Coturnix japonica: one gene and its partner. The protein of the gene in region 1 interacts with the protein of each later gene in a biochemical or structural test. Links are inferred from orthologs where the notes say so. Each region holds a gene or a part of one and is shown on either strand. Other genes may lie near its edges.

Region 1 (3,747 bases):
GTCATCAGGAAACCAAGCCTTTCCTTTTTATGTATTAAAAGCAAAAGTGTGGGGGAAAGACTTAGCAAACAAAAAGTTTAGGACATTTCCATCAAATTCCCATTCTAGTGCCAAACTGTCACACCTGGTTTATAAAGAGTTCTTAACCACAACACCAGAGTCTGAATGAACATCAGACAGGTACAAATGGAAAAACAAAAACAACAGACAAATGATGTCAGGCTTCAATGCCCGAAGGCAGCATCCTGACCTACAGCCTGCAAGTCTGACGCCATCTCCAGGGCTGAACAGGCAGAGCTGCAGGTTTCTTGCACCTCTTTCCTCCGTGCACAGACTACAAAGACAAACAACAGCCTGCACTATTCTGCCAATAGCACACAAGAAATTATAAGAAAGAAAGGCGTCCTGAAGTCCCGCAAGCTTTTGATGCGGTTCTAAGAGCAACATTGAGTACCTGTCTGCTGCTGCTGCTGCCTCTGCTGCAATTTCTGCTTCATACGCAAGAAGAACTTCTGAGGAGATTCCAGTACGATCGGGTCGATGCTCAGCATTTTCACAGCCTGGTTCTGGGGGATCTGAACGTGGGGTAATTCTGAAAGAACAGATCAAAAATCAGTTGAAACTGGGGAAGAAAAACATCGGGAAGAAGAGAAGCAAAAGACACATTTCATAAGATCCGAATGCAAACAGGATCTATTTTGTACTATTAAGGTCTACCCAGTAGTACCCCCCAGAGGAACACAGGGCTCGGTCAGAAATCATTATTGATATGAGATAAAACGAGGCAGGATGGAAACACACATTTTGGAAAGCTGGGGTTAGAAAGGAAAGTTTCAGAATGTTCAGGTTTTGTAGAAATAAGAGGCTACTTGTTTTCATCATGTCCAACAGATACAGTGAAGGCAATGAGGGGCTTTAAGTTGCAGCAAGGAGATTTAGAAAGGCTTTTAAAATAACTAACCATGAAGCCTGGGCACTACTACCTCCATAGCAATACTCTCAGTTAACTAACTGGATAAATGGCCAACACGTAAGATTTAGAATGACAGAGTTGTTTGAGCTGGAAGAGGCCTTTAAAAGTCATTATTTATACGTAGTACACTTCAGGCAGGTGTACAGAGATGAAGCACTGTAAGCTGATAAATCAGACAGTATTTCAGTGGCTCTTCCACTCAGAACGGCCCAAACACGAGGCTAACAGGGCTCTGCCATGGGACAGCTTCCCCTGCCAACCATCATTACTGCCTGCACGGACGGCAGCTCTGTGCCAGCAGGCAGCAATTCCTAACACTGCAGCACTGCTCTGGGTCAGAGCTTGGACGGGGCTCTGAGCAGCTGGAGGAGCTGTGGGTGTTCCTGGTCGTGGAGTTCTTCATCTGCAAACTCGGCACTGCAGCAGCTGCTGGGAGCTGGATACTACTTTGCAGATGCACCAGAGCCGGGCACCCAGCAGGTGCCTCCCAAGTATTTCAGCTTCCAAGCAGCTCTGCCACCAACCCTCCTCGTTTCTCAGCTGTCAGAACAGCACAAGCTATTCATTTGTTTCTGTTTATCTCACAGCGTCACTCTCCAGACTGAACAGATGGCAACAGATCAGCCCCATTCGCAGACAGAACAGGGGGAACACATTGAAACAAACCGATCGCGGTTCCTCAGCACGGTGGGGTTGGGCGGGGCCTGACAGACCATCCAGCCCTGCGCGGGACGGTGTCCCCCGGTCCGGGCACCACAGAGGAGCACCCGCAGCTCCGGTACCTCTATCACCGCCTGTACCACCGGCTCCGGGTAATGCTGGCGGCCCTCAGCTCGCACCCAACCCCATCTTTCAGCTTCGATCCCCCCGCCGCAGACGCTCCCTACAGCCCGCAGGTAGCGCTGCCCGCTCCCCGGCCGGGCACACGTTGGTTACCGACCTCTCTCGTGCTGCTGGTCCCTGCGCCTCCCCCCGTCCGCAAGGCGCGGCCCGGCCCCGCCGGGTGTCAGGATTCGGTCAGTGCCGTCCGCCTCGATCTTCATCTTCATCCTGAGGAATGCCGCAGCCGGGCTGTGCTGGGCGAGCTGCTGGACGAGCTGTTGCTCGGGCTGCTCCCGCGCGCAGCGTTTCGGTGGCGGCGGCCCGGGGCGGATGTCGCTGATGTCGCCGATGCCCATCGGCTCCCGGCCGCCCTCCAGCATCGTGGATTGCAGCACGGGGCGCGGAGCGGGGCCGAAGCGGAGCAGGTCCTTCAGCGGGGTGAGCGTGCCCGCGGGGATGGAGCTGAGCGCCACCGCCTGGAACGGCATCTCCCCGCGGCGGGGTTTGCTGATCATGGCGGTGCGGAGCTGCGGGCCGTGCCCGCTCTGCCCTGTGTCCCGGCACGCTGTGGGACCGGCCCGGCCCGCGCGGCGACACACAAAATTTGAGTTGGAATCGCCTCGCGCTGATTGGCCGCCGGGCGGCGTGACGTCACGGGGCGCGGAGAGGAAATGGCGGAACGGAGCGGAAGTGAGGTAACAGGGCGCCATTACGGGGCGGGGTAATGGCGGAGTGGTGTTAGGCTGATGGCGGGCTGATGGCGGGCTGATGGCGGGCTGGGCTCCGTACGGGAAATGCTGCGGCTGTTTGGGCTGCGGGTCTCGGGGAGCGGCGACAAAGGAGGAGCTCTGCTGCTCTGTTGGCTCTGCTGGCTCCTGGTGCGGTGCTTTGGGGTAGCGGTGTGTGGAGCGGAGCTGCTGTCGATGTGTGATGATTCTTTGTACCCTAGAGCAGAGGAGGGGTTGATTGTGTGAGGAAAGAAAAGCCATCCTGGCTGCCTGCAGGGAACTTCAGCTGACAATAAACAGTATATTTGAATTGGTTTCCTTTGAGTTTAGTGATTACCGGTGCTGCGTACAGGTGGAGCAGCAGCTGTGTAAGGAGGAGAGCTGAGTCCTGCAGGGCCAGTGTTGGGTTTGGAGGTTAAAAGTGCAGGTTCTTTAGCTCAAGGTCACACCTGGAGGGTGGCAGCTGTGTCTGAGCCTTGTTGGGTCTTAACAATTAAAGCTAGTAACAGATTGTGTGTTCAGGTGTCAAAGGTCAGGAATGAGGGTAAAACATCTGGTGCTTTTAAATGCTTTGGGCCACAGTTACTTTGGTTGTGTGAAGTAACAGCTTCTGCTCTGTTTTGATGCCAATGAAACCCAAAAGAGCAAGGAGTCGTCCTGCAAATCACACTCCTACGTGCATGGTCCCATCAGTGCTGTGTTTAAAGTACTGCGCAGGTGTGAGGGATTGTTTAGTGTACCAAAACTACATGGAAAATGCACAGAAAATGCCACTAAGAGAGATCAGATTTGAACACTGCTATACAAGTCCTGCAGGGTAGGGCACTGCTCAGCTGAGGGCCACGCTCACCTGCTCCAGATGGCCAGGCAGGTGGAGGGTCTTGGATGTCCTCTTGCTGAACCTCATTTAACAGTTGGTCTGAAGCCCACCTCGTGTTCTAGTGTTACTGGTCAGTAAGTGTATGCCAAGGAATCTGAGTAGTCCCACTGATTTCTTGCAGCTGTAGAGCTGAACAGGTGCATTTCCTGGGAGTGGGTATTAATGTGGGCTGGTGCTGAAGGTGTGTAAATGAACATTGTTCAAACTCACATCAGAATGCAGAAATCTTTTTATGTGGGAGAGGAGTTCCTCGCCTTATGGAAACTGAGTGTGCAGTGCTGCAGTGATTTCCTCCAGTAGAAGGCGCACACAGGCATTGTAAGCAAGGCTGAAAGCTTTGAGAG
Region 2 (3,747 bases), about 31 Mb from region 1:
CTGGGCAGCTCGTTCCATCACTTCATCACTGTCAGTTAAAAATCTTCCCCAACATCTAATCTAAATCTCCCTTCCTTTAGTTCACAACCATTCCCTCCTTGTCTTGTCACTATGTACCCACGTAAAAAGCTGATTTCCTTCATGTTTATAAGCTCCCTTTGAATACTGTAAAGCTCCAATGAGGTCTCTCTGCTGCTTTCTCTTTTGCTTTTGTTATAATGCCAGTTTAACTGAATTGCAGATGTAAAATACTTGGGGTTTAGTTAGTACAGAACTTAAACCTTAGTGTTTACAGGGAATAGTTTTGTACTGATACTAACAGATACATTTAAGGCAGAATTAATGCCTTCTGTTGCTTAAGAGGGCGTATCAAACGTTCACATATCTATCAACGTGTGAGCACATTAAACTAAAAGCACTATAAAAAAGTGCTTTTATTACAATTAACATCGTGCTAAAAAACCAATATTTGTAAACGGTAGAGCACAACAAAGTAACAAAGTTTAACAAAGTGTTCTTTCTGAAAAAGAAGGGCTGCCTTATTATTTATTACCGTATTTTCATTTCCTTGCACTCTTCCTTGGAAGTGCTGCTTCAGCGCTTTCAGCAGTTTATCTGCCTGCAGAGAAAGAAAGCAAAGCAGCACATGAACTAAACGCTGCACGGAGCCATCAAACAAACAGGACGCTGCCCAATCCCAAACCCAGCCCCAGCCCGCACAGACGTTTGTGAGCCCCTCGTTCCCCCGCTCACCCTGAGGTTGGCCTTCAGGCCGGCAGCCTTGGCGACCTGCTGCAGCTCCACGTACTTGAGCGCGTCCAAGGCCTGGAGCTGTGAGGGCAGCGCCATCATCGCTGCTCCGCCAACCGCCGCTCTTCGAATCTCGCGCTTAACCGACGCGCAGCTCCTCGCTCCCGCCCCCGCCGTTCGAACTGGCCCGCCGCGTCCTGCCATTGGTTTGGCCGGGTGAGGGAGGCGGGATTAACCGCACTGTGATCGCCCACTGGCCGCCGTAGCCCCCAGCGCTGTGTTTTTCAAGCGCGATTGGCCCCGGAAACTCGGGGCCGTAATTCTCGCCCTCTCCTTCTTGATTGGGCGGCAGAACGAGGCGAGGATTGACGGCTTTACTGCCCAATAGCAGCGCCCTCATGGCGAGGTGGAGGAGGCGGGAGACGCGCTCCAGCGGCGGAGATGGCGGTGAGGCGGCACCTGCAGCGCTTCTTCGAGGAGCCGCAGCGGTTCTTGGAGGAGCCGCAGATCCGCGGCACGATCGTGGTGGAGCGGCCGCTCCCCCCTGAGCCTCCCCCGGCTCCACCTGCTCCGGCTCCGGAGGCGCCGCGGTGTTGCGAGCTGCGGCCGGAGGATTCCGCCGTGTTCCAGTGCCGCGGGTGCTGGGCCGTGCTGAGCGACTCGCTGCATCTGTGCGCCATGGAGGAGCAGCGCCTCGGGCTCCTCGTGTGCCTCAGTCAGTGCTGCGGGACGGGGCGGGGATGGGGCCACGCGCTGCTGCTACACGAGCTAATCCTCTGTCCGCAGGAGTCACCGGCAACGTGCTGTGCGAGGAGACGCTCTTGGTCGGACTGGATGGAGCCCTGACGGGATGGTGCGTAGCAACAGCCTTATACAGCACGTTGAATGCCCTTATACAGTGCACTGCAGTCTTACGTGTTTTACTGCCCTGACAGAGGCAGCGATGCAGTGCCCTCTGACAAGTGAGCAGCAGTATCCGTGCTTTCAGAAGCTTTTTTTTTAATAATATAATTGTTTTGTGTTTCCTTTCAGTACGTACAACACACTGTCCTGTCGGTCGTGTGGCTCGGCTGTGGGCATTGTTCTTTATTCTGCCTTCAGAGAGCTGGCCTATCTCCGAGGCTTCTTCTGTTTCTTCAAGGACAGCATCTTCTGGTAGGTGCCCTGCCCTGGCTTCTGATGGTCAGGGACTTCATGGCAAGCTGCAAGTTATTCCAGCTGAATACAGCCAACATACCTAACAAAAGCTGCTTTATTTCTGACTCAGAGCATCACTGTGGGATGTTAATGTTCTGTTCTTGTTTTATGTTGTCATAATTCCATCTGATCTACCTTGTACTTTTTGAGTCTCCTTATCTTACATCAAAGTTTTAATTGAGCTATTTGCGGTGCTGAGACTCCTTCAGTTCCAGGTCCACTTAACTAACGTGAGCTATCAAAACAAGTCTGCGATAGATGGATCTGATTATAGAATCACAGAATAGTTTGAGTTGGAAGGGGCCTTTACAGGCCATCTCATCATCTAGTCCAACTCCCCTGCTCCTAACAGGGACACCTACAGCCAGAGCAGGGTGCTCAGAGCCTGGTCCAGCCTGACCTGGAGTGTCTCCAGGGACAGAACATCCACCTCAGCTCTGAGCAACCTGTGCCAGTGCCTCAATAGCAGATACCAAGAGGACTTCATGATTTGGAAGTAAACATGTTATTCTATGGAGAACTTTAGGGAATAGTTTTATCTGCTTTAAAATCAGCTTAAATAGTCTGTCTAAATGAGTGCAACTTCTTGTTTGCAACTGTTTTTCTTGTTTTTCCCCACTTGTTTTCCAGTTATCTCTTAAAAAGCAAAATGATAATCGAAGCTTCTAAGGTGAAATTTCCTGCTGTGACCTTAAAGGATCAAATGGAGAAAGTAAGGTTTCCACGTGACTTTGTATGAAAATAGCATGCAATACTAATATTTCTTGATTTGAAGTATTTTTAATTGGCCAGAAACATAATATTACTGTATCTGCAACACAGACCAAGTTCTAGCTAATCTTCTGACGTAAGTGTGCTGTTTACTTTCTTCTTTAGTGAATGTGTATGGGGCTTTTTAACTACCTAAATGTTGCCAAGAGGGAAGGGTACTTCTCTACATGTTGAAAACAAAACAAACAAAGAGAATCCTTTTTAAATGAAACTTTTCCTAACTATTGCTACCTGTGTTGTGTATTGCTACGTGGAATTGAAAAGCCACTGTTGAAGAATTAAAAAAATATATACACATTTGTTAGATTGAAATGGATTTCAGTGTTTTTATATGGGAAGTGACACTAAAATACAAAAATGCCATGCAGGCATAAGTTCCCCTGAAGCTGAGATAGATTATTTTGAGGTAAAAGTACAAGTGCTTCATTGCAAACATGTGTTGTGGCGTTTTAGAGAAGCTGTGCATTGATCAGAGCAAGTGTTAGACTCTATTCTTTGCTTTTTAAAATATATCTTAAAGATACATCATTAAGATGTGAAGATAAAAAGATCTATCTTGCCTACGGTGCTTTTCATGTGTTAACTTCAACCCCAGACTCTAGAAATGGCATTTTTAAGGGGTTGTCCCAAACCGATGCTGTCACAGTCTCCAAATCTCGCTATGTAAAAACATGTAACTAGAAAACATGGCCCTGATTACAGCCAAGCTCCAGCAACTCTAAGTGGAGCGTTTCAGTGCATCTCTGACACTAGTTATGCTGACCCACGTTCATTTCTTTCTAGCACAGGTTTGTGATTCGAGTCTTGGTTAGTTTTGGCTTTTCTAGACATAGAACATAAAGTCAGTCCAGCATCGTTTTCCGTTCTGAAAGTCATCTGCTCTTTAGCCACCGAAAGTGGGATGCGTATCATTAAACACCCAGAACTTTTGCCCTCTAATTTTACAATTCCCATCTCTTTTTTTGTTCTTAGCTGAAAGAAGACCTTGTGAATGCACATGTGCGTGTCGATTTGCTGATGAAGAAAGTG

What was found.
Region 2: the proteins of MIS18BP1 (region 1) and OIP5 form a complex in vitro, tested with the Homo sapiens proteins (2 studies listed by BioGRID). The link is inferred for Coturnix japonica from reciprocal best matches to the Homo sapiens genes MIS18BP1 and OIP5.

Annotation. Positions count from the first base shown.
Region 1 is NC_029520.1:53,297,132-53,300,878, reverse strand, and holds the start of MIS18BP1 (mis18-binding protein 1), read right to left. Parts: upstream 2,340-3,747; 5' UTR 2,311-2,339; coding exon 1,914-2,310; intron 593-1,913; coding exon 455-592; intron 1-454. UniProt on the Homo sapiens protein: Required for recruitment of CENPA to centromeres and normal chromosome segregation during mitosis.
Region 2 is NC_029520.1:21,981,912-21,985,658, reverse strand, and holds the start of OIP5 (protein Mis18-beta), read left to right. Parts: upstream 1-1,099; 5' UTR 1,100-1,191; coding exon 1,192-1,465; intron 1,466-1,536; coding exon 1,537-1,603; intron 1,604-1,782; coding exon 1,783-1,905; intron 1,906-2,577; coding exon 2,578-2,659; intron 2,660-3,690; coding exon 3,691-3,747. Other genes in the region: NUSAP1 (nucleolar and spindle-associated protein 1), read right to left, coding at 554-619, 754-954. UniProt on the Homo sapiens protein: Required for recruitment of CENPA to centromeres and normal chromosome segregation during mitosis.